Drosophila melanogaster: one gene and its partners. The protein of the gene in region 1 interacts with the protein of each later gene in a pairwise test. Each region holds a gene or a part of one and is shown in the gene's direction. Other genes may lie near its edges. The genes, in order: Mat1, Liprin-gamma, CG33109 and Vm26Ab.

Region 1 (7,490 bases):
CCGTATTTGTAGTCCCGATAAATCGAAAAGTACACAGAGTGTGGTCCACAAAGGAACGTCGGGATGTGCCTGTAGCATTCGGTTGCACCACAATCCAGGCTGCAGGCCACTAAATTGTGGCACCAGCTGGCAAACGGCCATCTGGCCAAACGGTATCATCATGACGCTCCCACTTTTCACCTTCCAGTTCCCAGCACCCAGCACCCAGTAGCCAGTTCCCTTTACCGCGCATCGCAAATCCGGAGGCTGTGGCTGCTGTGGCCCGACTGACTGATGACCAGGTGAAGCCTTCAACACTGGGATTAAGAGAAGCTGGGTGTGCACTTTGAAAAACTGCACTGCAAACGTTTAAGAAGGAATAGCTTTTACTAAAATTAGAAAGTTCCTTATTTATTTTCTTTTTAAACTTCGCAAATGAACTGCAAATGAAAAATACGTCAATAAATAACTTCTATTTACATTCCATAACCAAATTCCGAAAGTTAAACATCCAAATTGTGTGGCTCAACCCCTTAGAAATGCAATAATTTCCAATTCGCTTATGTGCACACAAATTTCGCAAAGTGCTTTATGCAGTTGCTTTAATGAAAACTTTCATTTGAGCGGAATATCTAGTTTCATTATTGCAGTTAGCAAACAGAAAGTTGCCAGTAGCCCAAATTCCAGGCAGAGCTGTCCAGAGAAAGGAGAAATTCACTTTTAATTATTTACGGCTAAACAGAAAGTTGGCCAAAAGGAGGAGAGTTGGCCGCAGGAGACACTTTTTTGTGCTACCGACTCGGAAACTTTTCTCCAAAAAGCGTTTTTGCCCGGCTTTCATTTGCTGCTGGCGGGGCCGAAAAGGGAAAATATGGTTGGTGTCGAAGCATTTGAGTATTTCCTTTGGTTCCGTTTGCAATTCCATTACTTTAATGTGCCATGGCGGAAGGGAAAACTTTTAAATCTTTATTTATAAAAGCTTCCGCACAGGCGGCAACTTTTGTGTGCGAGTGAAAATGAAATAATTCCGACAACCGCAGCCTTGTGGTGGGCCATGCGGTTTTCCTGGCCGAAACTATGCCAGCCAAACTTGCTAAATGCCCTGACAAACTTTTCCCTTGGCAAAAAGTGAGGGAGTGAGCTACAACTCTCACATATATGTATATCAAGATATATTTTCCCGACTTAGGTGCGATTACGCTTAAGACGTGCAAATTGTTTAGCTAATTCATCGCCTGCTTCTATTTACTTGCAGTGCATGCGTGCCTACGTTGAGTTCGAGATTTCCGAGGGCGCTTACGAGATCTCCTGTCCGGACGCCACGTGCCCGGCCCAGGGTGCCATTTCCCTGCCCGAGATAGCGAACCTAACTACAACGAATCTGCTAAAGAAGCATCATAGATATCGCCTAAATCGAGGTAAGTCCTTGCCTAAGAGATTGCCTAAGAGACCTCTTAGTAATGTTACACTTTCATTTAGAAATCGAATTGGACAAGACGCGCACCTGGTGTCCACGGGCTGGCTGCGAGACCATCTGCACGGTGGGTGCAGCAGCACAGCCTGGCCAGTCCAGCGTCATTTGCCAAATGGACGAGTCGCCGTCGACCTCGCAGAGCTACAGTCCACAGCAGGAGGTGGCCGGAAACGGAAGCACAGGTGCCGCGGCCGGAAACGGAGCTCCCGTTCTCTCGGTGTCTGTTCACTGTCCCTCTTGCAAGGACGAATTCTGCGGCCTCTGCAAAAAGGCGGTAAGTGTGTGACATTGTTGTTGTTTCCTGTCATAAACATAAATTAAAATTCTATAAAAGGTTTTTAGTTTTGCGCAATTTTATCACATTTTTAATGGTTTCTAGTTTATAATGATTTCTATCCTTTTTGCAGTACCATCCGAACATAAGCTGCGACGAGTTTGGAAGACGCCTAATTGCCGATGGCCAGGACGACATTGGCATACCGTTCGACAACGAACTGATCAAGTGCTGCCCCATGTGCGCGGTGCCCATCGAAAAGGACGAGGGCTGCGCCCAGATGATGTGCAAGCGCTGCAAGCACGTCTTCTGCTGGTACTGCCTGGCCAGTTTGGATGTAAGTTCCTAGAATCTGGCAAGTCTAGGATATTTCATCTAATTTGTATTCCTGCAGGATGACTTCCTGCTGCGCCACTACGACAAGGGACCGTGCAAGAACAAGCTGGGGCACTCGCGGGCCTCGGTGGTCTGGCATCGTGCCCAAGTGATTGGGATCTTCGCCGGCTTTGGCATTCTGCTGCTGGTGGCCTCGCCGCTGCTGCTCTTGGCTGCTCCCTGCATCATCTGCTGCAAGTGCAGAGGGTGCACCGGGTCCAAGATCGACGAGGTGGACGCCGAACTGGAGGAGGAGGTCACTGCGCTGCAGGGCTAGGTGGCTGGATCTCCACGCATCCCCATCCATACGCGACATAGGCTGCAGCCTGTAAATGCAGCTGCTGTAATTACTGGTAGTTTCTATTGTTAATGACGACAGCTTACGTACATTTATTTTAGTTATTACAATTATAATTGTATATGTGTTAACTAAATTGTGATATTTACAGTGATTCGATTTCTAATTGAATCGACAAATTTGTTGAGAACCTATACAAAGACAAGACGCCTTCGATTCTTTTTAGGTTCTGTCTCTACATATATTCTTTCCTCCCCCTAACCACACCTTTGAATATATATTCGACTAAATCAATCTGTATAAATCGAGTAGGTTCTCTTCCTAGCGCATAAGTTAGTCTAAATATATTAGGAGTACGCCTCGTATTGCAACAGTGCTTTTATAACGCACCCACCCAAACAAAATCGCCCGACTCACCCACTCAATCCTTCTCTCAAGTATTACGCATGCAACTAACACCCAAAATTGATGGGTCACTTTGATCAACTGCTTGGCAATGCTTTTATCTACGCAAAAAAATATATATACTGCATATAAAGGAGGTGTATATGATGTCACTACTACTGTTTATTGAATGTATTTAATTGTAAATTTTACTACGCAGCTAAAACAAATGTATATCAAATCGCTGCTCTCGGGTCGCTTGCCTAAAAGCTGGCAGGTGCACCTAGCTGGGGATGATTTGGTTAATGTAAATTATTGAATTATTTAATGCATATACACTCAGAACACATATATCAAAATACGTATGACATAAAAGTGCGTGTATCTTTAAAGAAAACATATTTAAACTTTACTCTTAATGTGAACAACTACCGCGTATGCTGTTTGAAATAAAAATGTTAAAAGAAAACTATGGAATTGGCTTTTATTAAAGTACTGGGTTATTTAATAGCTTAAAATTCTCATTTCATATTCATGGGCTTCATTTCAAGCTTTAAATTTTCAAGCTTGTAACGGCTATTGTAAAACATGCATATAGTATGGCAACGCTATGTTTGTGGTTCGTGTATGTGCTAGATGTGAACTAAAGTTACTAAGCGAAATCACAAACATGACATTACGGGCCAACCATGGTCACATTAGGGAATGCATCAAATAATAATTTATCGAAAACATTGGCCGGCAAAGAGTTTTTATTTACGGATTTAAGCAGCAGAGAGGAGGACAGGTAAACCGGCTACGCGATGGACGACCAGGCGTGCCCGCGGTGCAAGACCACCAAATACCGGAATCCATCGCTCAAGCTGATGGTCAACGTTTGCGGACACACATTATGCGAATCTTGCGTGGACTTGCTGTTCCTCAAAGGATCCGGCGCCTGTCCAGAGTGCATGGTCCCATTGCGGCGCAACAACTTCCGCGTGCAGCTTTTTGAGGACCCAATGGTGGAGAAGGAGGTGGATATTCGTAGGCGAATTCTGCGCGACTACAATAAACGTGAGGAGGACTTTGCCTCCCTGGCGGAGTACAATGACTATCTGGAGGAGATCGAGGACATTGTGTACAATCTGTGCAACAACATCGACATCATCGAGACAAACAAGCGTATTGAGGCCTACAAGCGTGATAACCGTGAGGTCATTCAGCGGAATAAAACCCGCGTGGGACGCGATGAGTACGCGTTGGAGGAGATGCTGGAGCTGGAGAAAGTTCAGGAGGAGGCGCGTAGGAAGGAGCTGGAGGAACTGGAGAACGAGCACAAGAAGAAGAAGGCCCGCGACAAGCAGGCGCTGATCGAGGAGCTGATGTACAGCGGCAAGGATGCCGCCCAAATTGTCACCGAGTTCGCCGAAAAAGCGGAAAAGCAGCGCGAGGAGGAGAAACAGCTTCCACCGCCGAAGCCCGCCAACGAGTTCTCTACGGGCATAAAGTTCGGACAGACAGCTGATCCCAGTCTGCTGCCCGTTCCCAAATCGGAGGAGGGTCCACTTTTCGTATACGAGCCACTTGTTCCTTTCAGTGAGGGACCTGCCATGCCGCCCACAAATGAGATCGTGTCCAGGGGCTATATTGCCCACATACGAGCTGAAACACCGCAGGAGAACGCCGGCGGATTCACATCCGCTCTGGCTTGTGAACGGGCGCTTCAGGAGGCGCTGCAGGGACTCTACTATACGGCTACAACGGGTGTGGTATCTGGCACCTAGCTCTCTAAAAAAATATCCTTTAATGGTCGCACAACCAGAGCACTGAACGCTTAATTTTGTTGAACAAATGTGTCCTATACGAATCCATTCAGTTAACTCGTAACTTAATATATGTTAAATAAATAAATGCTATATCCTACGTTATAGATATTATTTATTCAAAAATATATTGTTGTTGGCTACATAGTAGGTCAATAGATGCGCAGGAAAATTAATCCTTAAACAAGAAGTAAAAAAAATAACATGTCTATATTAGAATAACTTTCATTTGCAAAGAAACTTAGCTTATTCATTTTGATAATTATTCAAATAAGAAAGTTTCCTGAATTTGTATTCTAAATACAAATACAAGAGATCAAAATGAGCCAAACAGAAAAACAGTTGGTTCGTTCGACTACAGACTTCTTTTTATTTTAAATACTTTTAACAGTAAATATTTATAGGCATTTATAGACATATGCTGGATAAACATACATTGGATTTAACTTGCTCTTTATACATTATACGGATTATAGTTAAATCGTGTGATAGTCGGACGAGTAGCTCGTCACATCCTAAGATCTACTTGCACAGTTAGAGGTAAATGTGTTCTGCGATCGGGCCACTTGCGAGATTTTTGGCCACAGATGGACTATCCTAGCCAAGTACATGAACTGGTTAACTTAACGACCTATGCATGGGCAATGTGGGTAGATTACAGAGTGCAGGACTGGTGACAATGAGAGCGATCGGGGATATGGCTGCTAATACATTTAAAATGTCATAATCTTAACTATGATCGCATGAGTTTTGCTTCTCATCTATGATGATAAAATACACAAAATTAATATAAGCTGGGATGGAGGCGATGTGTGTGTGTGCTGGGTCACGCTACTCGGGCAGAAAATGCCGCGAACGATGCATGTGGAATGTGGAAGCAGCAACTGGCGCGAGGTGCCAGAACTATCAAACGTTCAAGTGGTTTGCATACGCTTAGTGGTTAAATGGTAGGATAACATTTAATTTAGACATAAATTTGGTCTTAACAATCTAATTAAAATGTTAACATTTAATAATAGTTTTTCGCACACGCCTTTTGTTGATTACACATAGCTACAATTAGAATTGTTTGCATGCGCCACGATTGTTTGCCAAACACTACCCATAAGTTTCTCGCTAACTTCATTTACTTTGTTGCACATTACGTTCGCATCCGAGTGCACTTGGGTTTTAGTATGCTCCACTCACGAGCAGTGCTTGACCGCCGTCCCACATTTCTTGGATTTCTGGGGGCATCTCGCCGTGTTCTACTTCTGTATTGCTAATGGTGTTTTTTTTTTTTTTTTTTTTTTTGGTTGGATGCGCAAAGCAAACAATAGCAGGCAGTATTAGTAAATGGCAATTTTAACTAAACAGAATCATCTGAAATAAACAATTAGTCAAGTTTAGAGTCAGTGGGCTTTAGTTGGAAAATCACGCATACGTACCGTGGTACCACCATTTAGTCTTTTTAGGATTCTTATTACAGGTTTTTACGTATATCGTGTTGTCCGGCGGACGCTTCTTTTCGCGACAACTACTCAACATGGAGGCTATGCTAAGGCACACGGACTGCACGGACAGCGCCGGGGACCAGTCCTCGGTCAGAATGGATAGGCAGATGTGTCCGTTGCTGTAGACATGCGGATGCACCGGTATATTGGTGCCGATGAAGGTCACCTGGAAATTAAGAGAACATGGTTAAGATTCCATACAGCTTCGCTTTGTTCAACTGAATTATTACCTCTGGCGAATCGAACGGATATTTATTGTTGAATTTGAAAAGTAGCTGGAAGTCCTCGCCCTCGTAAAGTGTGCCCTCGAAACCTTTAATGTTTATTTTCCATCTGTAAACAAAACAGCGATATTAGTGTCAGCTTCCAACAACTGCGGGCTTTGTTTTCAGTGCGAATTGCTGAATTGCGAATTGATTTAAACCAGTTTCAGTTGTCGCTGAACTTGGCCTACTCCGCCTCGAAGTCCATACTTACTCGGATAAATTTTGTTGTACGCTCTCGGTGTCGATGGTTACGCCTGGTGGCGGCTCCTTGATCAGGGACATCAGCTCTTTGTGTAGGCGGCGCTGTGGGGCAGAAAATAAAATTTAAGACTTATATTAGTTAATGACTCGGACAGTTCGCCGTATATCTTATCGCGAAACACACCTACAGCTGGGACATTCTACTTAAGAGTTCTCAAGACTTATTTTTTCCGCTCGCCTTATCGGTGCGCCATTTCTCCTTTGGCTTACAAACGCCAATATACGCTATATGCCTACGCGCGTATAAATAAACGAAATGCTCGATAAGATAAAAACAAATGTCACTGAAATTTATAGAACCGACGATTGTTTTTCCGTCTTTCGGATCCCCCTTCTTATCGAGTGATTGGCACTTGCAGGCCCGTTTTCTGTACCATAAACAAGTATCGCACCGCTGCCCCCACAAATGAGCTGCGGATAAATGGGTTTGATCGATAAGGTTTGGATTTGGCAATGCCAAGAATAATAAAAACAAATCTTGGTACAGCCTTGAAGAGAATCAACAGAAGATTCACGCAGATTTCTTGAAACTCAAAATACTACATACTCATGATGCAATGGAACACTATATGTATATTAACGACCAGTTGTTCGAACGCGATATCTGGCCAAAGTTCAGGTTTAATATCTCGAATATACTTGCCTCCCATCGCGAGTTGTCCAACTGCAAAGGTTTTCCGCACTTGGAGACCGGCGGTGTTTTGGGCTCCTTGGGCTCGGTTAAAATCTCCGATTTGGGTATTTTGTCTTTGGGTTTTTTAAACAGCTTCATCATTTTGTAGTTCTAGTTTTCACACAGTTTCTCACAAATTTTAGCTTTTGTTGTGTCACCTATAACTTGTCACTTTTAGGCAGATTGCTCTCGGCTTGCTGGGCTTGCT
Region 2 (9,115 bases), about 12 Mb from region 1:
AAACTAATAATGTTTTATCTGATGCACAAGTATCGCAGAAATAATCATCAATGCAATAATCAAATGATGATGTTACAGAAAGCATCTGGGCTTTTAACTCAAGATCATATTTTATTAAAGAACTCTTATACCATTTCTCTACGAGCATGTGTCAAATTTCAGATTGTAAGGAATTTTAAGTACCATGTCAAATTATATTAATGCATACAGAAAGCGATTTACCGGGAAGCAATTTCATGCAACTGCTGCACGCAATTCGAGGACAATGTGAACCAAAACCCGAGGGTCCTTTGAGTATTTGGCAAATTCGCCAGCGTTAATTGGTGGGCGTGGCCAGGTGGCCATCTGAAATTGAAATTGAAACTGGCGCTGATTATCTGGTCGACCGCCGCTGGAACACGTCCGTCTGCCACCCACTTGGCATGAGTTGGGGCAATAAAAACTTATTAAGCGATGCTGAGGACGCGGCACTCGCAACTTGCCATAAAACCCGGACAACATGGGGAAGCCCCAAAAAGCGGGGGCCAAAATAGGGGAAAGGGAATCGTGATGGGAGGGCCAAAAGGATAAATGGAGAAACATTTGGCAGAAATGTGTCGTTGCCTTGGGGCAGGACCGTAATAAAAACGAAGGAATAAAACGAAATAAAAATATAAAAAATGCGCATACGCCGCATTGGCTTCGCCTGCCTTATAATAGACATTAATAATATATCGCCGTTTCCGCTCCAGACTCCTTCTCATCCGATTGCAGTGGCAAGTGCGATAAACCGTTTAGCAACATCCGGAAACGGAGAGAGAGAGAGAGCAGAGATAGAGCGCTATGGTCGAGTGTCGCGACTATTGGATACCCGTTAATCAGATGGAGAGGATAAAGATAAAAAAGAAGAAATGAAATGCCTTATCATTTCCATTAAATTGGTTTTAATAGTCAGATTTTTGCTATGTCATGCTTTTCAACAAATCGATCATACCCTTGTACTCAACGAGTAACGGGTATAAAAGAAGGAAATAGTGTAAAGCACAATCCTAGCGAAATTGCGAAATTGCTGCCCTGACCATCCACTCTCTATCTCTGGACATTTACATACTAATTCGATTCATTACTGTCCAGCCAGGGCTGGAATCTTAATTGAGGTAATCAATGCATCTGTAAGCTGATTTAGGTTGAGTGGTTTCTTTGGACCCCAATCGGCTTAAAATTCAATGCATTTTCAATTTGGCATATTCGCATCTGGCCATCCTTGAACTCTGATCGAATTCAATAACAAGAATTGTATAAGAAGTACACGCAAATATTTTGCAATGAGATATTTGCTCATATGCACACACAATGGCCGTGCAGCAACAAAGGCTTCAAAAAGTATTGGGAAAACTTTGGCGACGACTCCCACCCACAGCAGCCCACTGCCTCCACTTCTCCACTTTCCATCTGCTAACTTTTTGCAGTGCCATCTGCGGAAAAGTTTATTGCGATAAATGAAAATAGGAAGCGCACAACGAACAGTTACAACAAGATGTTGAAATAAGTTGTCAAGCCAACGCATCCGGCTGTTTTATGTATTTTCTACTCCCATTTTTTTCCTGCTTTCTGGGCGTGTATAGTTTTCCACTTGTCTGACTGCGGCGGCTGTCGGCGATAAGCGCAAGGCATTGATAAACATCCCCATTCTACGCGGCACCGCAACTCCATTTCTTTCGCAGCACTCCCGTCTCATGTCCTCCCCCCTTTTAGGTGGGGATGGAGTGGATGTCAGGCAGTGACAATGGCTATGCCGTCCCCACAATTGGTTGGCTTGACAAAACGCTGGCCGGGACTTGTAATACACCTCAAAAAAGTAAGGGTGTCCTGTAGTATGGAACATTATCTTTACACCAACATGTAGATGCATTCAAAATGTCTGGAATTTGCTATGATATGTTGAAAGCCCCCACGCTTAGATCTTGATATCATATTATAACGATGCCAGTAGAAATTTAGTTGCTCCTAATGCAATCTTAGATTCTTCTCTCACTGCATCTGGCTCAATTCTTAAGGTTGAGGTCGTCGTAGTTGATTTTCCGCAGCTCTGCAGGCGGCAGGTTGGAAAAGTGGGCAAGGGGAAATGGAAAAGCGGGTAAATGGAGGGTTGCTGGGGGCGGCGACTGTCAGTGGGACACTTGGCTGTCAATGGCAGTTGAGTTACGACAAAAGGGAAGAATTGCATGGCAGAGACGTTTCCTTCGGCTTCCATGGCTTGTGGAATTTTTCACGCGTCACCTGTGGCAGATAGTGCTGCTCCCGCCGCCTCTTCTCGGCGGGAAGTCTTCTGTCTTGACTTTGTCGAGGGAGTCGGAGTTTTGCCATATATCCTAGGCCTTTTCCGATGGAGGAGCCGAGTTGAATGAACTAGCACCGTAATCGATGCGCCTCCGTGTGTGCGTTTGTTCTGCCGCCATTGTTCGGGATATCAGATACACATATCCTGGCACCGATGGCGGCGTCTGCCAGGAGAGCCACAAAAAAGGCAGCAGGATGGGCTCAGCAGCCGCTTGACATTCATTTGATAACATTTTATTAGCATCAGATGATGGCGGTTATCTCATGGCTGCACTTCACATTTCCGCAGGCAGACAGATGGCAACCACAATGATTGTCAGTCAAAATAAAGACAAACAGTGGCCGTGTCCATGAGTTTGCGGATGCGAAGGGTTCGAAGGGTGGGAGGGGTATGGCAGGAGGATGTATATAGGATATATCGGACCGATTCAGTCAGGTGCAAAGCCCTCTACGTGGCTGCGGCTAGTCACGTCTGCCACTTGTGCTTATGAATGACACTACACTCTCTGGCACGGAGCGGTAAAGGGATTTATCCGGTTCAAGTCCTGTGAGCTCAGGATAATGCACTGCAATGGCTCTCATTCGGATTACTCCACCCTTACGCGTTGATATGGCAATCGATTCCGCTTTGAATTGCATAGTTGCGATGCGGGAAAATAGGTTTGTTTATCAAGCCAATCGAAAGGTAGTAATTGAAAGGATTGCAGAAGAGGCAAAAAAATAACACTTTAATATGAAACTCAGTTATGAATCAATGTTTCCAGTTAAATGTAACTGCAAAGCTGAATCAGAAAGCCACTTTTATCACAGCTGTCAGAATTGTTAAGCCCTTTCAAACTCAATTAAACCATTTAGACTTTAAATGAAAATGCCATTTTCGTTACAATCACATTGAGAGAACAATAATATCAATTTTCATAGATGAGGCGATGCGATTTCTTTGGCTGAAATATTTTGCACGTGTTCATTAAATCTTTTCACAATAATTTGAGCATTTGCTGTCGGGATCATATTATACATGTTCAGCTTTGAGTGCAATACTCACATACTTTCGATTCCTTTGTCAATTTTTGCCGCAAATGATAGTGTACAGTCAGATTGTTTTACAATTAGTAGGAAAGCATGCAGACTGCAGTTGTCGTTGGCAACCTCAAAGTGCGCAACATCCCCACATTTACCCACTTCATCCTCATTTATTGTTTTGAGGCTTTTCATATTTTGAAATAGTAACTCCCCGCCTGTCGCAAACAGTTGCAACCACTGACATTTTTGGTCTTGAGATATTTCATTAGAGTAAAATCGGGCTGTGTGGCCCAACCACACAGTCTGTAAATTGTTTCGTCCAAGTTAAATTGCGGGGAAAATGTATTGTGGCGTCCAAACAAAGTACAATTTATATTGCTGATTAATTGAAAACGGAGGTGGTGTCGTTGCGATTCAGAGCCAGAGCTTGACCTTCGTTTTTGGGAGCGGAGGAGCAACAAGGATTCGAAAGGATTCTTGCGGGACGTTCGGATGGAAAACGTAAACAAACACTTGTCCAAGGCAAGGCTAGGTCGGGTTTTCGAGAGATCCCTGGTGGCTATTTCTCCAGCGATTGCGAGCTTTCGCCAATGCGCATGGGCGCTCTTGTATCCTTTTTCCCATCTCGCTGTGCCTAAGCTTTCGTGACGTCACATGGACGCCGCCAAAACGGCACTCGGGCCAAATGCCAAGGACTCGAGCTCAGTGCCATTCGAGTGATTCGCCCAGTGAGACGTTCCAAGCGCCAGAATTGAATTATTCCCCACATATCCTTCGGTCTCGCTCTCGTTCTCTCTTTCTGTCCTGCTCTCTTCGCGGAGAGTGTGTGCTGGTGTGCGTGTGTGTTTCAATCAAAATCAACAAGAGCATAGCCGAAAAAACTTTCAACCAAAGCGTGTCTAACAAATTAGAAAGCCAGAAAAACCAAATAAAAAAAAAACGAAAATAAAAGAACCAACATTGACTTCAACTGTTGGCCACGTGGTATGTGGCCTTCTTGTTTTTTCAGTCAGAATCCGAGGTAAATTTTTCGAAAACAAACAGACAGACACAGCATCGCCGAAAACAAGAAAAACACTGCGGAGAACAATCGAATTTTTGGGGGGGAAAAACCACCGCCAGTAAAATTCGGTCAATATTTGTGCGAGTGTGCGTGGAGTAGGGAAATTTTTTGGAACTTGTGTGTCACTCTGTTTGTTGTTGTTTCTGTGCGCAAATATAAAGGAAAACCAGCGAACAGCCAAATAGGGAAAAATCTGTGTCAGTCGCGAATTACGCACTATCTCATTTGGGAATTTCGGGCCGCTTGGGTTTTGTGAATGAATAATCAAAGTGTTTGCACGCATTTTTAAACCGATTTGCGCCTGTGCAAATCTTTATTAATTTCCGAGTGGTGTTCTTACTAATGACAACATCAGTAATTGCTGCCAGACACGAAAATCATATTTACCTGCACAGAGAGAAAATGCAGAAACCATTTCGTAAACGAAATAGGCTTACTTCTGACATATATCAAAGGAGCTGTGACTGCACTTTTAGTAATAACTTTAACTTGGTAGTGGTATGTTTGGTGGTTTTGAGTTTTTCAAGAAATCAAAGCCATATGGGTCAAAAGTATGCCACCTGGCTGAATAAATCAAAAGGAACCGGCGGAGAACCGCGGGCGGTAAATGTTGCATATTACGTGAGTTTTTACCACGACCATACGTTACGCATACGCCATGTGGGCCCCCTCCGAAGGCAGCAAAGGCTACCAACAGTGCGTCGCGTAATAAATCGCACGACAATAACTCACGGCACCCAGGAAGGGGGTTGAAATGATGATGGGGATTTGGGACAATAGAAGGGGTAAGCAACCAGAATCGGGTCGGGCTGTGACCAGGAAAGTCGCAAACTGAAAGCTATTAAGCCGAAAGACTTAAAGACTTTTGCTACCCACCTCCGGGGACGGTCTACTCCAGCCCCCTCCCCCGCCACAATTTCCCCTCTCGCTTCAAGCCAAACCACGCACACACACACACACACACACACACACATCCGTTTCCTGTGACAAGGAGCAACAACGAAAACTCACTTAGCCATGCTGCCTCAGCCTCTGTGTTCGCCAGACTCACTTGACATGCTCTTAATACCAAATAAAAAACAAGAGCTCAAGGACGCTGAGAAAACACTCCGTTCCACTTTTGCACTGCGAGTAAGGCCAAAACCCCCAACGCCCCGGCCACGCCGTCATGTGTAAATTTTTAATGTTACCAAGACCCCCAAATGTAGGTTATCAAATTGTGTTCAAGTTGTCTTCGCCAAAAGCGCCGTAGAAAAAGTTTTAGCGCTCGCCGTTTCCCCGGTTGGAAAACATTTTAAATGATTTTGTTGTCGGCGGTTGGTTGTTTTTCGTTGTGTTTCCCTTTAGACGCCCCCTGCCAATTGGGTCAAGCATTTACATTTCACGCCTAGCGAAAAACTCAGTCAGAACTATGCTACTTCGTCACGCCCCCATCCTGCACGCCCCACTCACCACGCCCCACCACCATTCGCCGTGTTGTGCAAGCTCTCCAACGTTCGGTAGTGGTGCATCTATTTAGTCAAATTAAAAACACAAATTCAACTCTGCTCTGCCGGCTGCCACTAATTAATTGCAAACTAAATGAGTTTCTCGGCATAAAACTTTATCCACAGCAAAGCTGATTGCTGTCAGTTTTGCGGCCGAAGGAGGAGCAGCATTCTACTGGCGATGTAGATTGCAGCGAAATCGCTTGGCAAAGAACAGGGGCGGAGATTGGTTTATGTGGCTCCCCTTCTCCCCGAGAAGGAGCCCTGGCTCAAATTGTAATTTGTGCAGCTCCCACACATTCCATTCTCGCTCCATTGAAGTTTTCTGGCTGAGAAAGGGGGGCGAAACCATCGAGTCATACAGGAAATTAGGGCTAAAAGCAAGTGTAAAACGGTCAGCGCAGTGAAAACTTTCTAGCCCGAAAAGGGAAAAATATTGGAAAAAATTCTAACTTTCGAGTCGAAAGTTCACAAATATGTGAATGGAAATACTCAGCATTCTATTTAAACTGCATACGTTTAGACACCTATTTAAGTAACTTTATACGTTCATTTTTAATTCAACTAAAATTGCGTTTGAAGGGTTTTTAAAGGAGGTCAATGCAATTTCGCTCTCTGACATTCCCCTCAAGTGAATGGCTGGGTTTAGTCATCATGTTATGAGTCACACAGCAGGATATGTACGGTCAATGAAGTTAGCCTTTCGGAAATAAAGTGTTCGCTTGCAGGTAATCGAATTGAATGCTGGCTAGCAGACGGCATCCAGGCTCAGCCAGCTGAGCCAGCTCAGCGAGTCGAGTTGAGATGGGCAGGACCTTAATGATGGATGTCAGGACGGACAGGATGACCAGTCACTCACTCATTTGGCATTGAGGGCACTGAGCCATTAAATTCCCACTTGGCGTGTGCGGCGGATTGGATTTCGATGGCTGCTCGCGGCGTGAATCTGTTAATTCAACTTATTAATTTTCATTGAATTTCTCCGTTCGCCACTGTCACAGTCACTGTCACTGCCAATGTCAATTGTCACCGAGTTGTGGCGCCCTAGGGCGGGCATTGACATTATGGCACTTTGGGGTGTGCTCGTTGGTCTGTGGTTTGTGCAATCAAGTCGGTTCGAATGGTTTTGCTCAGCACAAAATACTGCATTAATTTGCATGCATTCTGTAGGCCGACATTCAATCGATATGCCAAAACTTATTGGCCATTTGTTCGGCCAATTCATTTAAATCTTTTCCATCTCAAGCCTTTGATTTATTTAGAGCCTGAGCTCCGGCTCATGGAATGATAAATTAATAAATGTGTGCATTGAATCAAAGGCAACGGCAATAAATTTCAAATATTTTACCTCCCATTTTAAGAACGAAAGCCACAGACGCACACACATGGATACTTGGAATCGCCCTTTCAAATGAGCCTGCCTCCGAGTGCTGTCACACTGGAAGAAGTGAAGAATTTAATAGCCAAGCTGCCACTTAAGAAAGCTCCTGGAGAAGATCTTCTTGATAATAGAACCATTAGACTTCTCCCAGATCAAGCATTGCAGTTCCTTGTCTTAATATTCAACAGCGTTCTTGATGTTGGCTACTTTCCGAAAGCTTGGAAATCGGCGAGCATAATTATGATCCATAAGACTGGAAAAACACCGACAGACGTTGACTCGTACAGGCCCATCAGCTTACTCCCATCTCTGGGTAAAATTATGGAGAGGCTGATCCTAAACAGGCTGCTCACATGCAAGGATGTTACCAAAGCGATTCCCAAATTTCAGTTTGGCTTCCGGTTGCAGCACGGTACTCCTGAGCAACTACATAGAGTAGTGAACTTTGCTCTGGAAGCTATGGAAAACAAGGAGTATGCAGTAGGTGCCTTTCTTGATATTCAACAGGCATTTGACAGAGTCTGGCACCCTGGGCTCCTGTACAAAGCGAAGAGGCTGTTCCCGCCGCAGCTATATTTGGTTGTTAAAAGTTTCCTGGAAGAACGCACATTCCACGTCTCTGTTGATGGGTACAAATCATCAATCAAGCCAATTGCAGCTGGAGTTCCTCAAGGAAGCGTTCTTGGCCCAACCCTATACTCAGTTTTTGCTTCGGACATGCCTACTCACACACCAGTCACAGAGGTAGACGAAGAAGATGTGCTCATAGCCACCTACGCTGACGATACTGCTGTGCTCACGAAAAGTAAAAGTATCCTGGCTGCCACTTCTGGTCTACAGGAATACCTGGATGCATTCCAGCAATGGGCTGAGAACTGGAATGTGCGCATCAACGCTGAGAAGTGTGCCAATGTGACGTTCGCCAACCGAACAGGTAGCTGTCCGGGTGTCAGTCTGAATGGGAGACTGATCAGACACCATCAGGCTTATAAATACCTTGGTATTACCCTCGATAGGAAGCTCACCTTCAGCAGGCACATCACAAATATTCAGCAAGCGTTCAGGACCAAGGTTGCTCGGATGTCTTGGCTCATTGCACCACGCAACAAACTGTCGCTTGGCTGCAAGGTCAATATTTACAAGTCCATATTGGCCCCCTGCCTGTTCTACGGCCTGCAGGTATACGGCATTGCTGCGAAGAGTCACCTTAATAAGATCCGGATCTTACAGGCGAAGACCTTAAGAAGAATTTCGGGGGCTCCTTGGTATATGAGAACAAGAGACATCGAACGCGACCTCAAGGTGCCCAAATTAGGAGACAAGCTCCAGAACATCGCCCAAAAATATATGGAAAGGCTTAATGTACACCCCAACAGCCTAGCAAGGAAGCTAGGAACTGCAGCTGTGGACAATGCTGACCCTCGGACTAGAGTCAAAAGAAGACTCAAGCGACACCACCCTCATGACCTCCCTAACCTGGTTTTGACCTAGAAAGTCTTAGTTTTAAAATTCATTAGAATAATCAAATAAATAATAATTACTATGTTATATCAACTATTATAATTCTCCCTATCATTTTTAGGATTAAAAATCTGTTAGTCTTAAGTAACCAAGACACATTGTAAAATAAAATAATTTAAGCAGATCAAATTAAGTTGCCGCATGGGTAACAGTGCGTTGATCAAATAATAAAAACATCATCGTAATCGTAAAAAAAAAAAAAAAAAAAACACACATGGGACCCCAATAAAAACCAATTTATGAAGCATGCTTCTCAGGGCAATTGCCTGCCCCCAAAACACACAGCCCAAGAGCTTAATTGAATGCGAAGGCAACTGCATA
Region 3 (7,538 bases), on another chromosome or scaffold:
ATTACAAATTTTCTAAAGAGAGGAATAGATTATTAGTGCTTTTGGAATTCGATTTAAACAAGTGAGAGCTCATCAGAGAGTAATAATAATAAGAACTATAAACAAATAAGGCTGTATGTCAGATCTCTTGTTAATAATACTTTTGACTCAAGAGCAAGAAAATCAGTTGTGAGCAACAGCAGGGTTTTGACTCACTAGCTTATCAGTAAAGATAAATGTAATTTTTAATTTCTTTAGTCGTATTAGCACCTTATCAATTAACACATTCGATCAGTGTTAGCCCATCCATGTTGAGAATAGTAATTCGATCTATGATCATAAGCTTAAAATTAAATTGATGATAATTTGTAAACTCTTTGTATTGAAGCTCTTGTTTTGTTTATACGAATTAGTCAAAGATTACTAGAGAGGGGATTTTCGCTCAAAACACAGAAGGCAGATGGCTTCTAGACATTTGATTACGAGGTACCAAGGGTATATCCACTTAAAAACAACGATTTTAAGCAATATTATAGACAATTGCTTGTAGGGGCTAATAAAGAAAGGTAAGCAAGAAAACCAAAAAAAGATTTACTTAACTTAATCTACCAGATTATACTATACTGGTTACTTTAGCCGAAGTAAAACTATGATTTAGTTGAGAGCAAAGTATCAAAGAGTCGGCAGATTAATTCTTAAATGTTTTGATGGAAGCTGCGCCTTATTGGCTCAGCACGATGCGGAATTTCCAGTTTTGCTCAACACCGATACTCAGTGACTCAACAACTCGTCGAGATGTGTAAGCAATACCCGATGCTCGGCAATCAGTCTTATTTGCCCACCGTAGGTTGTCGCGTGCGGAACCGAGAGCTTCTTTTTCTAATCCAAGATTCCGGAAAGGTATGGGTCTGGAATTGATCGTAATTGTGTCGCTAATCGCCTTGGCCGGGGCCCAGCTTGTTCCGGAGAACTCGTGTCCGGACTACTTCCGCTATGTCAACGATGCCTTCCAGGGTGTGCAGGGCGAGATTACGCTGCCCAGCTTGATGCGGGGTCGGAATCGCATAGATATACGTTTCTCGCAACGGGGTGAACAAGATGTATGAGCTGGCCAGCAATCATCGCGCTGGTTTGACAACCCATCTGACCACTTTGTTCCCTCGCACTTCGTAGGCCTCCGCCGTGGGTTCCCTGATCCCGTATCCGGATGAAAATGCGGTACGACAGCTTACAGGATCGGCCAAATTTCGAATAGCCGTCAGACCAAATTCAAGCAACGGATTGCCCAAACTAACGCGTCTCTCCTACAACGAACAGATCTTGTGCTCGGCCAGCGAATGTGAGTAGCTTGTGTTAGGTTCTAGGAATAGGTATTGTCTTATAGAATTCTGAAGTCCCTCAATGTTAATGTGCATATTTCTTGATGAATTCTTTTGAGCCCTGTTCCAGACAGACCGCCCAATAGCTTCTTTAATCGCTTCTATGAGCTCGACATCAGTGGTTCGCTGGCTTCGTTCCCTTCCTCCGTATTCAATCCCTTCACCAGAGATGGCTTAGATGTGAATGTGCAGACAGTATTCTATCCTACCTCATCCCGTGGCAATGATATCTGGCGTGGTTTTACACAGCCCTGGACGACTGTGTCCAACAGAAGCCCAGCAGTGGTAACTCCAGCACCCACTCCAACTGAGATTTTCTGGAATCAACCAGTACCCAGTGTTCCAATCACTTTTGCGCCACCTGTACCAACTATTACGAGCAGCCCAGCACCAGCACCACCACCACCACCACCACTTCCAACTCCACCAGCAGTTGTAACCGTTCCGCCAGCTACTCCACCACCTCAACGCTTTGATCCGCGATCCCAAATATCATCAGTAGTTTGCGGTCGAGAGGGCAGCACAACTCCGTTTATTGTGCGTGGAAACGAATTCCCTCGAGGACAGTACCCCTGGCTATCGGCCGTCTATCACAAGGAGGTTCGAGCTCTGGCCTTTAAGTGCAGAGGATCCCTGATCTCGTCCAGCATTGTAATTAGTGCCGCCCACTGTGTGCATCGGATGACGGAGGACCGCGTGGTCGTCGGACTCGGGCGCTATGATCTGGATGACTACGGAGAGGATGGGGCCGAGATGCGCAATGTAATGCGATTGCTTTGGCATCCGGATTACAATACCCGGTCGTATTCGGATGCCGATATCGCTTTGATCACCATTGAACGGCCAGTGACGTGAGTATTTAAATAATTATTAGTAATTTAATTTTTCACTCAAGAGATACAAAAGGTATATTATAAATCATTTTACGATGGGCATTCCCGTTCAAATATTATATTTACTCTATCACAATATGTGCTTCTCACAGAAGGTGATAATTTAATACTCATAACATGCGAAAAAATCTCTCTTATAAAGTTCATATTTTAAGGACTATCATGTTTTCTTTCAGGTTTAACGACATTATTGCACCCATTTGCATGTGGACGGTGGAGGCAAGCAGAACGGTGTCCACCACTGGCTTTATAGCGGGTTGGGGGAGAGATGAGGACAGCTCCAGGACCCAGTATCCACGCGTGGTGGAGGCGGAGATTGCCAGTCCGACGGTCTGCGCCAGCACCTGGAGGGGCACCATGGTGACGGAGCGAAGTCTGTGCGCGGGAAATCGCGATGGATCTGGACCCTGTGTCGGGGATTCCGGCGGTGGACTGATGGTCAAGCAGGGCGATCGATGGCTGCTCCGGGGTATTGTGTCTGCAGGGGAACGCGGACCTGCCGGCACCTGCCAGCTTAATCAGTATGTACTGTACTGCGATCTTTCCAAGCACATCAACTGGATAAGCGAAAACATTCGCTGAGCATCCGGATTTGCTTTGTGGACAATCAAATTAAAAACTTTAATGCCAAAAGATATTTAGATGTTTCACTGTCTGGTGATTTTCGGCAAAACGAGTTTGCGCCTCCCATCTTTCACTTATTTTATTGGCAATGATGGATGATTGAAAGGCAAAAAAAAGTACAGATAGGTTGCTACGTGCTGACAATAAAATGTTTGTAAAAAAATAACTTTAATTGTTGAGATGTACTTCATTAATAGTTCATCTATTTTAGGATTTAGCAGCGGCCACTTTTTTTTTTTATTGGTAGAACCGATTGATTGTTCTGGCTAAAAGACACAACTGACTTTTTCGCTAACTTTCTTTAGCTAATATCTTACAAATTAATGGCCATGTGTATTGCATGTATGACATAAAAGTAAACATATATGCCCACGTATTGACTGCTAAATGATTGGCATCGGCTGAGCAAATGTTTGGGAAGCGTGCTGCACATTTAAGTACCCAATGTAATTGGCTATAAAAGGCCTGCAGTACGATATATAGACTCTTAGAGGCCTGGTATAAAGATGAAGTGCAGCGGCTTTCTAATCCTCCTGGTGGTCCAGTTTGCCTGGAATGACAGCGTTCTGGCAATAGAAACTGCTTTTGATATCTGGAATAAATTTGGAGATGGTGGAGCTCTGCCCAATGATCCAGAAAGGCTAAACGAAAAAGGTATTTCGGTTCTAAGTCCAACTAACGACCTGCAAAACAAGAACGAAGGAACGATAACGCAATTGAGGAATCTTCTTGACAATTATGTGGCAAAATTATTATCCGATTTGCCCAATACTCGGAAAAAGAAAAGGAGACAAGGCCTGCAGGAATCTCTGCAAGCTCTAACTGGTCTAGGTTTGAGCATATCTCCATTGCTAAAATTCCTAACGAACATCAAGGCAGAGGAGGAGCAACTTGTCTCGAAACTTAATGTCCAGGAGGAATGGAAGTTCTGGGCTGCCGCAAAGGTGTCGAAAGTTCAGGAGTCGACTAAAGGTCTTAGAACCGCGGAGGCTGTTTCCATCACTGAAAACTTCAACAGTCGTTACGGCCTTCGATTGCGTAGTTGTGTTGGTCTGTTTATCTGGAATCAGATTCGGTTTAACTTGGACTTGGAAAGTTCCCTAAATGGCCTGCAAAATCCAACGGAGCACTTGATCGATGTCACTGAAGGCTGTTCCAGCGTTAAGCCAAAAAAGTGCCGGCGGAACGTCAGAAGAGCTATCGATGGCATCCAGAATGCTCCACAGAATTTGCTGAATCTGCGGACTAAGGGCAACCAGTTGGAGGACATTCAACGGCAAAGTAATCAGTGTGTGGATAAAACTGTTAAGGAATACACTGAGGAGCGGGTCGAGGTAGAAAGACAGCTAGATGATATAATCGAGGATTATCTTGAGAGTGAAACATTTACCAAATAAGTCGGGATCTATACATTTAAAATCAGATATTATTTCAATAATCACTGGCGAACATATAGCAGAGACAGCACATAATTAGGAACCTTTCGCACCAATTATTATAGAAACAAATAAATAAATATGAGATCCATTAAATATGTTTTATGATAAAGGAGCAGAAAATCAAAAATTAAATCTTTTAAATACCTACTGTGAGAAAATGTTCATTCATTGTCTTTGTGCTGTTAATAAAGTTATTTTAAGAAAAGGTAAGTAATATTAATGCATTTTTTGGCTTAATGGAGCTTAGCATGTGGAAGTGCAATTTACGCTCGAGAATTTAGCTCCAAAAACTGAATACTTAAATACCCACAAAGTGGGGAGAGCCACTGACTATTGAGAGACTTAGATCGGGTATCAATCAGTGCTCATTGAGTGAGTCTTTTGAGTTTTAATGCGAGTAATTAAAATCTCTATAAAATAGACTGGAAAAGCTCAGCTCATACGTAGTTGCAATGAGTCCGCATCAGCTGGTGACCGTTCTCCTTCTGGCTTCTCTGATTAACTTGGTTCTTGGCCAGTTGCCCCGGAATGGCTGCTCTGGGCGATTTCAATACCAGGGCTACCAGGGGCAGTACATCGGTTTGGTGGAAGTTCGTCATCCGGAGGCCAATAACCAGACACTCATCCTTCAATTCTCCCAGCAGGGATATCACGATTTCGAAGTAAGATTCAGCATTATTAACTTGGAAATTCTGAACTCATAATAAGTCGCTTCTGTTATCACTTTGCTTACTTTGCGGTTGTGCAATTTCCCATGCGGCAATGAAAATTGACATTGCAAAAATATATAAACAAGCACAATAGAATGATAGAATTATTAATCAATTAATTTTTGATATTTCTTTTTTTAAGGACTATGTGGGCAGTATCTCTCTGGTGGATGATGATGAAGTGACCCAGGAAAATCTGCGTCAGGGCTTGCCGATTAGATACCGTGTGGATTTTCCTATTCCAACAATACCGCCCAAGATCACTAGCATGCAATTGAATGGCGTACAACTTTGTAGTGGCGGTGTATGTAAGTTTTTATAGTTCAATATATTTTAAATGCAATTTATGGACGTATAATTTCTAGATCCTAAGCCAAGAACCGGCATTACGCTGCGAATCACTTGGACGCCCTCCTACATATCGGTTTTCGGCGTTAATCCCCAACCTGTGCCAACCAGACCTCGACCCGCTTGGCAAGATGAAAGTCCACAGATAGACTACAGGGAAACCAGACCCAGTCAACCCAGACTAGAGGATAGCGGAGAGTTGTTTGGAAGGAGTAATGAGTCACTGCCAGCCTTCCAAAATCCCGGATGGGGTACCGCCCCTCAGCAGGCAAATCCGAATAGAGGTATTACCTCTCAGCCGGAGATACCAAGTCCCGTCCCACAACGACCGACACCAAATCCTAGTCGATCTAATGCTCCTCAGCAGGCGGTGAGAAGCCCTGTAGATCTTGTTCCCCAGCAGAACCCTTCATCCAATGGTATTCCCTGCGGTCGGGAGAGAGCTAGTACCACTCCATTGATCTTCCAAGGGAAAAGTCTTCAGCGAGGCCAGCTCCCATGGTTGGTTGCTATTTTCGAACGACGGGAGAGCAACGGACCCGCTTTCATCTGTGGAGGAACCCTCATCTCCACATCCACGGTACTATCGGCCGCCCACTGTTTTCGTGCTCCTGGAAGGGATTTGCCCGCCTCTCGGCTGGCCGTCTCCTTGGGTCGAAATACTTTGGCCATTCACTCCGATGGAGAATTTCGCGGCGTATCCCAGCTGATTATCCACGAAAACTTCCAATTCAAACAGTTTACGGAGGCCGATTTGGCGCTGGTCCGATTGGACGAACCTGTGAGGTGAGTCTATAAATTATATAAATATATTAAATATAAAAAACTACTGCTTATACTATAATAAGGTACACGGACTACATAGTACCTATTTGCCTTTGGAGCACCAGCAACCGCATGGATTTGCCCCAGGGGCTCAAGAGCTATGTTGCCGGCTGGGGACCTGATGAGACCGGCACCGGCAACACTGAAGTATCCAAGGTTACTGACCTTAATATAGTCAGCGAAGCGAACTGCGCCCTGGAGCTGCCACATGTTCTGGTCCAGCCGAGCTCCCTGTGTGCCAAGAAAACGGGAGCGGGTCCTTGTGCCAGCGATGGTGGTGGACCATTGATGCTGCGGGAACAGGACGTTTGGGTGCTGCGGGGAGTGATCTCCGGAGGTGTGATCAACGAAAAGGAAAACACCTGTGAGCTATCCAAGCCATCCGTATTCACTGATGTGGCCAAGCACATTGAATGGGTTCGCCAAAAAATGTGGAATTGAACACAAAATGAAGATTGCGAACATGAAAAGCATGCCCCCTTCTTGAAGAGATTCCCATTGATGAATGTAAAATCACGTAATCGGAAGATCCATGTATTACTGCCTACTATTGCGTTATGGGTAATTCTAAGTGGATCCATTAATCATTGAAATAATAAAGCAAAACGGCGCATCTTGAATACACTGCAAACTTTTTTGGATCTTTTGTTTCCATGAACATTTATTTTGGTTATTTTGGTTTATAAAATCCCAATTCATGCTCTTAAGCCCCAAAAAATAATTCTGAGTCAAACATAGTATTAGTCCCCCAAAACCTTTTTTTGAAGAGTATAACTACGTCACTTATTCTGATCAGGTTGGGAGAGCCAAGCAGCTTTGTTTTGAATCGGACTATTCAGCTAGATCGGAAACTAATGCGAATTGGCTGAGCTAATACCAATCATTCATCGCGCGACTCTCAATCAGTGCGGTTTAACCTCTGATTCTCGATTGGATTAAATTCGCGTCTAGCTGAATGCTGTGCGATTGCAGTCGCATTTGTTTTCCATAAATATTTACTGTTCCGGAAAGGGTGATCGCCATGCGCCAACTGCAGTTGCTTGGTTTTCTGATCGCCATACTGCAAATCAGCTATATAAGTGCCCAAAACTTGCCATATATCCAGTGTCCGATGATATTTCGGTACCTGGAGTACGACAATCAGTTCATTGGACACTTGCAGCTAACCCTGGATAGTACAAATACGGAGAACGTTGTGCGCGTTGAACTTTCCCAGCGTGGCAGAAACACCCCGGTAAGTTTTCCCAATTGTCAACTCTTTTATAAAGTTTAGTCTTTGGTTACTATAGTGTTATCAAGCATTGACCTCGCTCTCAGATTGGATGTCCGATATTTCGCAAT
Region 4 (7,244 bases), on another chromosome or scaffold:
AGAAACTACGAGACATTCTATCGCAGCGTGATCTAACCGAAATGAACATATCCATCTATCGCTGTGTGAATTGCCTAACGCAGTTTACTATTGAGCAAAAAAGCAAGCGATATAAAGCAAAGGGTGAGTACAGCAGTACAGCAGAAATAAAAGAAACTATAGCTTGAACTACATTCATTTTAGAATTGCGATGTCCGGATTGTCGCAGTGTCTATGTGGCTGAAGTAACCGAATTGTCCTCATCTTTGTCCAAACCTTCTGGTGAAGTGGCGGCAGAGCCCAAACTTTCACCCGCCATGATTGTGGAGGAATCCCCAGTGGAGGAACTCGCTGCGGCGATAAATAAGGAAGAAAGCAACAGCATTGGCAAGTCCTTGGCCAGTTTTCTTTTTTACTTTGATGAAGTTCTAGAAAATTTCTAAAGAATATTGCTTTTGTAGTTCAGTTTATGGTTTCAGAAGCATTTCATTTTAAAGAGCCATTTTTTGAGATTCGCTTTAGTTTTTGTTGTGTTTGGTGTATAATTTTAAGTTTGTGTTGGATATATTTACTGTACATTAATTTAATTTTTATTTCTTTTTATTTTATTTGCATGCGAACACAAATCGAAAATGGCAAAACCAATCTAACTTTTGTATATTTACATTGTTCTTTTGGACTTTTTCTCTCACCCAACTACCGACAACAATAACATTGTTGTGATGTAAAAACTTAATTAATACTTTAGTGGCCAACTGCAGGCTAACAACTGCAAAAATCACACCCAAGCTTAGGAGTTTGACGCAAGCCACCAAAAGTTAATATGCCAATTTGTATACTTTTTATTTCACTTAACAATTTGCGTTTCGCTTTTGTTCCATAATGTGAAGCAGCATTTGGACGTGAAGCAAAGATAAGCTAACCTACTAATAGTTCTTGGACGACGACGTCGTTTACAAGTCTTATAAAATTTTATTGCACGTCTTGAGCCTTGGTACCCAAAATTATGTATTATCTGAAACAAAATTTAGCTGTTTATAAGACCTGTAGATACCGACAAATATATCAAAATTTAAGCAATAGCTAAAGCTTTATTAATCTTAGAGAGCAATGCTGCTTCCATTAATAAACAATTAAGTTAATTAGAGCACCAGACTAATATTTCAACATTATAGGTTCCGCCAATTCGCTAAATGGAAGCAGCTCTTGCTCAAAAATTACCAACTCACAGAGCTCTTTCGACTCCAATCAATCCGTAGTGGGCAGCTCGAACACGGATCGGGATATGGAGTTTCGAGCCAACGAAAGTGATGTGGACATCATCTCCAATCCGAGCCAGTCCAGCATAGAGGTACTAGATCCGAACTACGTGCAGAGCGCCAGTCGCAAGACCTCAGAAGAGCGCCGCATATCCCAGCTACCTCATCTGGAGACGATACACGATGAAGTAGCGAAATCGAAGAGCTTCATCGAACGCGAGTTTGGTCAGCTTCTGGCGGAGCAGGCTCAGCCTACGACACCTTCGACTGCAGCTCCCTTGGCTCCTGCAAAATCGGCTGTCCCATCCCATGTACCGCTGACAGAGAGCAGCTCGTCGGGATCCGTAACGGACAGCATATGTACTACCTACGAGCAGCAGGCCACTGATGCGCCACAAAATCTACAAAATTCCCTGCTCACCGAGTCGTCAAACAGCCAAGTTAGTGGTTCGGATGCGGAATCTAATAGCCGTTTGAAAAGCGCCGAGGATGCCAGCCTGCTGCCTTTCGCATCTGTATTTCAATCAACCAATCTGCTCATGTCCAGCTCAAAGAAGTTGATCGAGTCGGAGGCAACTGTTTTTGGTACCCAGCCGTACAAGTTTAACTACAGCGACTTTAATGATATCGATCACCGTCTGAAGCTCTACTTCTACCAACGAAAGTTCAAAGAGGATGGCGAGCATTTCAAGTGGTTGGCCAAAGGTCGCATCTACAATGAGCAGACCCAATCCTTGGGAGAAGGGCTTGTGGTAATGTCCAACTGCAAGTGCTATCTAATGGAGGCCTTTGCAGAACCCCATGACGATGTGGCCAAATGGCTGAGGCAGGTCGTCAGCGTGGCAGTCAATCGTTTGGTGGCCATTGATCTGTTGCCCTGGAAACTTGGCTTGTCCTTCACCTTAAAGGATTGGGGAGGATTTGTCCTGCTGTTGCATGACATGCTGAGGACGGAAAGTTTACTGAATTATTTACAACGTGAGTTAACTTTTTGCATGTTGCTTTTTTCCTAATACTTATTATATTTTTTAACAGAAATTCCTCTGCCTGAGCAGTGCAAGCTGAATCATCAACCATCTGTCACACTCAGCCATCAGTGGGAAACTATTGCGTCCGAACCAGTCAAGATGTGCTCCCTGATTCCCAGCTGCCAATGGATCTGTGACCAGGAGAAGAGCTCCTTTGAACCCTCCCTGCTCCTAATCACGGAGACACATTTGTACATCTCAGGAAATGGCAAATTCTCGTGGCTGTCAGATAAAGTTCAGGAAAAGCCCATTCAACCAGAACTTAGCCTTAATCAACCACTGAGCAATTTGGTCGACGTGGAGCGCATTACAGACCAAAAGTATGCGATCAACTTTATTGATGAGACGCAAAACAGGTGCGAGATATGGAAGTTGCAGTTCGAAACGCATGCCAATGCCGCATGTTGCCTGAATGTCATCGGAAAGGGATGGGAGCAGCTATTTGGAGTGCCATTCAGTCTCTCTGGAACGTGAGGAGCGAATTACACTAGAAAATTGAATATAGCCTGTACCAATTATTGTGCAAAGTTTAAAATTGTTGATCTTAATTGACTATGTTATTTAATGTCAGATTAGTTTTATTAACTTAGGCTAGAGCTTTCAATCAATAAGAAATGGTGCTGTACCACGATTTAAATGTAAATATTTATAAATATAGAGGTTATTATTTTTTGAAGTCCTTGCAATATATTCATATATTACAGAATTAAATCGTCTAAATTGTTTTATTTGTTGTTAGATGAATTATAGTTGGTATCAGTAAGTTGATATTACATATTTGCTTCTATTTACACATGAATAATATTATTGGAAACAAAAGAACTACAATATTGTCAAGGAATTTTGTTTGCTAATTAAATAATATTCACACGTGAGTTATAAATGTTATATGCATTTAAACTCGGTCGGATTTATTTTCGACTTATCTGTTAGTGCTATCTACTTGATAATTTCGGCATAGAGGTTTTTCATTTCTGTTTTAAATCGGATGTCTTTATAAACTATTATCTATTTCTATTAATTATCTATATACAGTACACTTCTTATGCTGACTCACTCATCGAAGAGTCCACTTAACCAGGTGTCTTACTTATCGCCCAGCTGATCTGCGATCCAGTCAAGATGCTCCTCCTTGAAGCGAGGATCTGCCATGGTCAGAGCCGTCGACTTGGAGCTGTAGTAATAGAAAACCGACACTGCGGGAAAGAGGAAGATATTAGGATAAGTGTGGAATGAATATTTCCGGAACTCACTGATGCGCTGTGCCACTGATAGGGCAATCAGACCCAGTGGCCAATGATGACCGTCCTCTTCTGGCGGCTGACGGTATTGGTAGATGATCCAAAAGTGCTGGGAGGCGGACAGAAGGAAGTAGATGGTAATGCTGGCCATGAAGAGCTTGCAATTCCGCAGGATTATGTGCGAGGCGCCGACCTGGTACACACACGTCGAGTGCAGGGCGAGGGTGAACAGCAGGTACTCCGCGATAATCAGGGCATCCTGAGTGCTGTGGTAACGTGCTGTGTTCAGAAAGGATATCTTCTCCATTCCCTAAGATACTCACACAAAGAGAATTATGGCTGTCTGCAATCGGTTTCTGGCCAGCGAAGGACCAAAGGCGTTGCAAAAGAGGTCCACTCCCAAAAGGGCGAACTGGAACAGGAGCACCCAGGAGTAGCGTCGCAGTGTTAGCTTCATGGCGGTGTCCAAATGTCAAGCGCTTGTTTTCGGTCAATTTGTTGCGTGCTGACTGTGCGGGGGTTTGTTGTGTCCTTCGTCCTGGTGACGTCAAAGCTACCACTGCGGTCATGCGCTGTGGATTTGTACTATCCCCTTATCGATAGACAGATTTCCATGGAGAACTGGTGAAACTTTGAAAACGTGTGGAAGGCATTGGCGGGAACAGAAATGGGTACGTATTTTTAAAGACCAGGTTACAAATTGGAGTCAGAAAACTATATATTATTCTGGGTTGCTTTTATTATCAGACATATCGAGCATATTCAAAAGGGTACTGCTGCCGTTTTCCCGATCGGAAGGTGTCCATTCTGCCAGCCTGTCGCCGGAATCTCCTGTAGTACTGCTGGTTCATCTCGGAGTAGAAGTTTGTGGGCAGTAGGTGAGACCAACTGTGGTCGCCTTCACCATTGTGGCGGTCCAGAAACTGGAACATCGATGCGGAAGTGACTTCGGCAGCCCCTGTGCGCCAGAATGGCCAGGTTGGATTTAAGGTCACCAGAGCCAAGACCAGAAACCAGAACGTCATCGTCTTAGCCATTTGTGAAGAGAGCTGTTTGGCCAAAACCCGGCACCCAATACCCTCCTCCAAAGTCGACTGCCGGTTGCAGGTGGTCAGCAGATTTCGAGCCGGGGTGCTTCCATTTGCATTTTTTTCGGAACGCTGTCGTTCTACTCCGTCAGTGCGATCAGCGTTTTCCGAGTGGGCTATAAAGTGGATTGGCTGGGAGGCTACAATCAACAGTCAGCCTTCGTTCGTCACTTCAGCAGCAAGTAGAGACAGCTCAAGAACCATCCGCAATGGCATTCAACTTTGGTCACCTCCTCATCGCCGGCCTCGTGGCCTTGTCCGCCGTGTCCTCGGAGACCATCCAGCTGCAGCCCACTCAGGGCATCCTCATCCCCGCCCCGCTGGCCGAGAACATCCGTGTGTCGCGTGCCGCCTACGGAGGATACGGCGCTGCCCCAGCCGCCCCATCGTACTCCGCCCCAGCCGCTCCCGCTGCCCAGGCCTACTCTGCTCCCGCTGCCCCAGCCTACTCCGCACCCGCTGCTCCCGCCTACTCCGCACCCGCTGCTCCTGCCTACTCTGCTCCCGCTGCCCCAGCTTACTCTGCCCCAGCCGCACCAGCTTACTCCGCACCCGCCTCCATTCCGTCGCCGCCGTGCCCCAAGAACTACCTGTTCAGCTGCCAGCCCTCCCTGCAGCCCGTGCCCTGCTCCGCCCCAGCTCAGTCCTACGGATCCGCCGGTGCCTACTCCCAGTACGTGCCCCAGTACGCCGTGCCCTTCGTCCGCGAACTTTAAGGATCGAAACGAATCTGACTTGACATCTGAACCTAAGAATAAAGTAATGCTTTCATAAAAAACATTTAAGATATTTTATTGAAGGGGTATCAAGGGTTTTATTGCTTTTCTACAAGCTATTAAAAAAGTTTCAGCTCTCTGAAATAAATATAATTATTACCGATATGATGCAACAAATTTAAGGTTTTGTGTTTTACTAGTACACCTTTTTTTAAAAAGAACAAATTCGTATATGCAAAACGAGTAATGGGCTGTAAGCAATTTTGAAATTCTAGAACACTTTAGATATATCTTGTTATTTATCGTCTTAGCAATGATTAAAGCGGCACAAAAAGTTGCTCCCAATTTTGGTCTAAAACTAATCCTGTTTATATATTTAATAGTGCCAAACAGAAGTCTTAAATAAATAATAAATATTAAAAAGATTAAAATATTGTTTAAAATTTTCACTTTATTAAAAATCAGCTAGTTCATCAATATGAGCTGTACCCACATGGAACCGGCTTGATAACCGCTTCGCAGGAGAACACATAGTTCTTTGGGCAAGCTGGAGAAGGAACTTCACTGAGTGTGGTTTGTTGTTGGTATGTTCCCTGAACCGGTACCTGGGCCTCATCCTGGTCGTAGCTGCGAGCGAAGCCAAATTTGCCACGTCCAAAACCAGGACCTCCGAAGCCGGGACCTCCGAAACCGGGACCTCCAAAGCCGGGACGTCCAAAGCCAGGGCCTCCGAAGCCCGGACCTCCGAAGCCAGGACCTCCAAAACCAGGTCCTCCAAAACCAGGTCCACCAAACCCGGGACCACCAAAGTTGTTCTCCACGATTACCTCCTGTACGATTTGCTGTTGCCTCCTCCTACGGTTCAGATACGCATCCGAGGGCTCGACAGCTGATGATCTCGATGGCAGGCTCCTTAAGCACCCTGTACTTCCTCCACAGGTCGAGGCTTCCAAACCAGCCTGCTGACCCAGAGAACTCGCTCCGGCCAAAAGGGCAAAGAATCCGAGATACTTCCACATGCTGACTTGATATGGTGGCGTTGCAAGCTGAGAAAGCCGAGATGCGGCGTTGTTCAAGTGGCTTTTATAACCTCATGCCACCAGAAGTGCACAACGAAGCGGAAACGGAGATGGCCAAGGTAACACCCAACAAGTGGGTCACTTGGTCGCACATTCCAGAGGGCGAGTGGGATCAGAATTGGGGCGAAGTTGGAAGTTCGAGAAAATGGGCCATTGGCTAGAAGGGGTTAATCCGCTGGGAGGGCCCAAGTCACTACTTGGCTGGGCTCGGAAACCCTACGAGCACCTGAAACCCGAAGGTCAGCACATTGTAGCCACTGCTGCTTTCCGGCTTGTAGGCTGACCGACCAGTCAAGCGATTGATGATGGGATCCGATATCGCATTACCCAATCGCTTGCACTTTTCACTTTTCAATTTTCCGCTTTGTCGCTGATTCGGATGTGTCGCAAGCATTTCTTCTAGCTAAAATATACATTTATGTACAATTTAATAACTATTTTGTTTGGTACCAGCATTTCCTGCAGTTCAGTGACCCACAACGAGCTGCTTGGCACAAAGGTTAAAAACTGAAAGTTTGCTTAGTTACAATCACCTGTATCTGGCGGATGTAGATTTAATCGGATTGGGAAAAGCTGGAGGCAGTAGCCGAAACTACATTTCCTTTTTCAGGAATTTAATAGCTAACGATTTTAAAATGGTTTTATGGTGGTTATAAAATGGTTATAAAATAAATTATTTTAGTACAAGTTATATAAGTTAACTTGGAGAATAAAAACATTGGGTTTACTTCAATGATAAACGTTGATTAGGTTACTAAAATAAATTTTGTCGTCAATTATCTAGTAAGATGATAAAAAGACAGTGCAGCAAATATACTTAAATGCTTCATTTTGGGAATGTTTAAAGAAAATGT

The links.
Region 2: the proteins of Mat1 (region 1) and Liprin-gamma interact in a two-hybrid assay, tested with the Drosophila melanogaster proteins (one large-scale study listed by BioGRID).
Region 3: the proteins of Mat1 (region 1) and CG33109 interact in a two-hybrid assay, tested with the Drosophila melanogaster proteins (one large-scale study listed by BioGRID).
Region 4: the proteins of Mat1 (region 1) and Vm26Ab interact in a two-hybrid assay, tested with the Drosophila melanogaster proteins (one large-scale study listed by BioGRID).

The regions. Positions count from the first base shown.
Region 1 is NT_033778.4:10,735,818-10,743,307, reverse strand, and holds Mat1 (menage a trois 1), read left to right. Parts: upstream 1-3,478; 5' UTR 3,479-3,587; coding exon 3,588-4,550; 3' UTR 4,551-4,691; downstream 4,692-7,490. Other genes in the region: CG33144 (uncharacterized protein), read left to right, coding at 1,235-1,397, 1,459-1,727, 1,861-2,064, 2,122-2,379; CG7220 (uncharacterized protein), read right to left, coding at 5,938-5,951, 6,017-6,248, 6,313-6,415, 6,560-6,651, 7,253-7,384.
Region 2 is NT_033778.4:22,349,636-22,358,750, reverse strand, and holds the start of Liprin-gamma (Liprin-gamma), read left to right. Parts: upstream 1-4,042; 5' UTR 4,043-4,363; intron 4,364-9,115.
Region 3 is NT_033777.3:14,217,423-14,224,960, reverse strand, and holds CG33109 (uncharacterized protein), read left to right. Parts: upstream 1-3,376; 5' UTR 3,377-3,381; coding exon 3,382-4,272; 3' UTR 4,273-4,401; downstream 4,402-7,538. Other genes in the region: Sp212 (Serine-peptidase 212), read left to right, coding at 882-1,079, 1,153-1,318, 1,429-2,209, 2,428-2,833; CG31326 (uncharacterized protein), read left to right, coding at 4,767-4,976, 5,167-5,332, 5,390-6,158, 6,221-6,638; CG9649 (uncharacterized protein), read left to right, coding at 7,219-7,431.
Region 4 is NT_033779.5:5,952,262-5,959,505, forward strand, and holds Vm26Ab (vitelline membrane 26Ab), read left to right. Parts: upstream 1-4,742; 5' UTR 4,743-4,804; coding exon 4,805-5,311; 3' UTR 5,312-5,378; downstream 5,379-7,244. Other genes in the region: CG9044 (uncharacterized protein), read left to right, coding at 1-123, 184-366, 728-796, 1,155-2,216, 2,274-2,740; CG13999 (uncharacterized protein), read right to left, coding at 3,353-3,462, 3,520-3,773, 3,831-3,964; CG13998 (uncharacterized protein), read right to left, coding at 4,251-4,544; Vm26Ac (vitelline membrane 26Aac), read right to left, coding at 5,785-6,330. UniProt on the Drosophila melanogaster protein: Major early eggshell protein secreted by follicle cells into the perivitelline space and incorporated into the vitelline membrane. Involved in vitelline membrane biogenesis; forms a cross-linked network with other vitelline membrane components.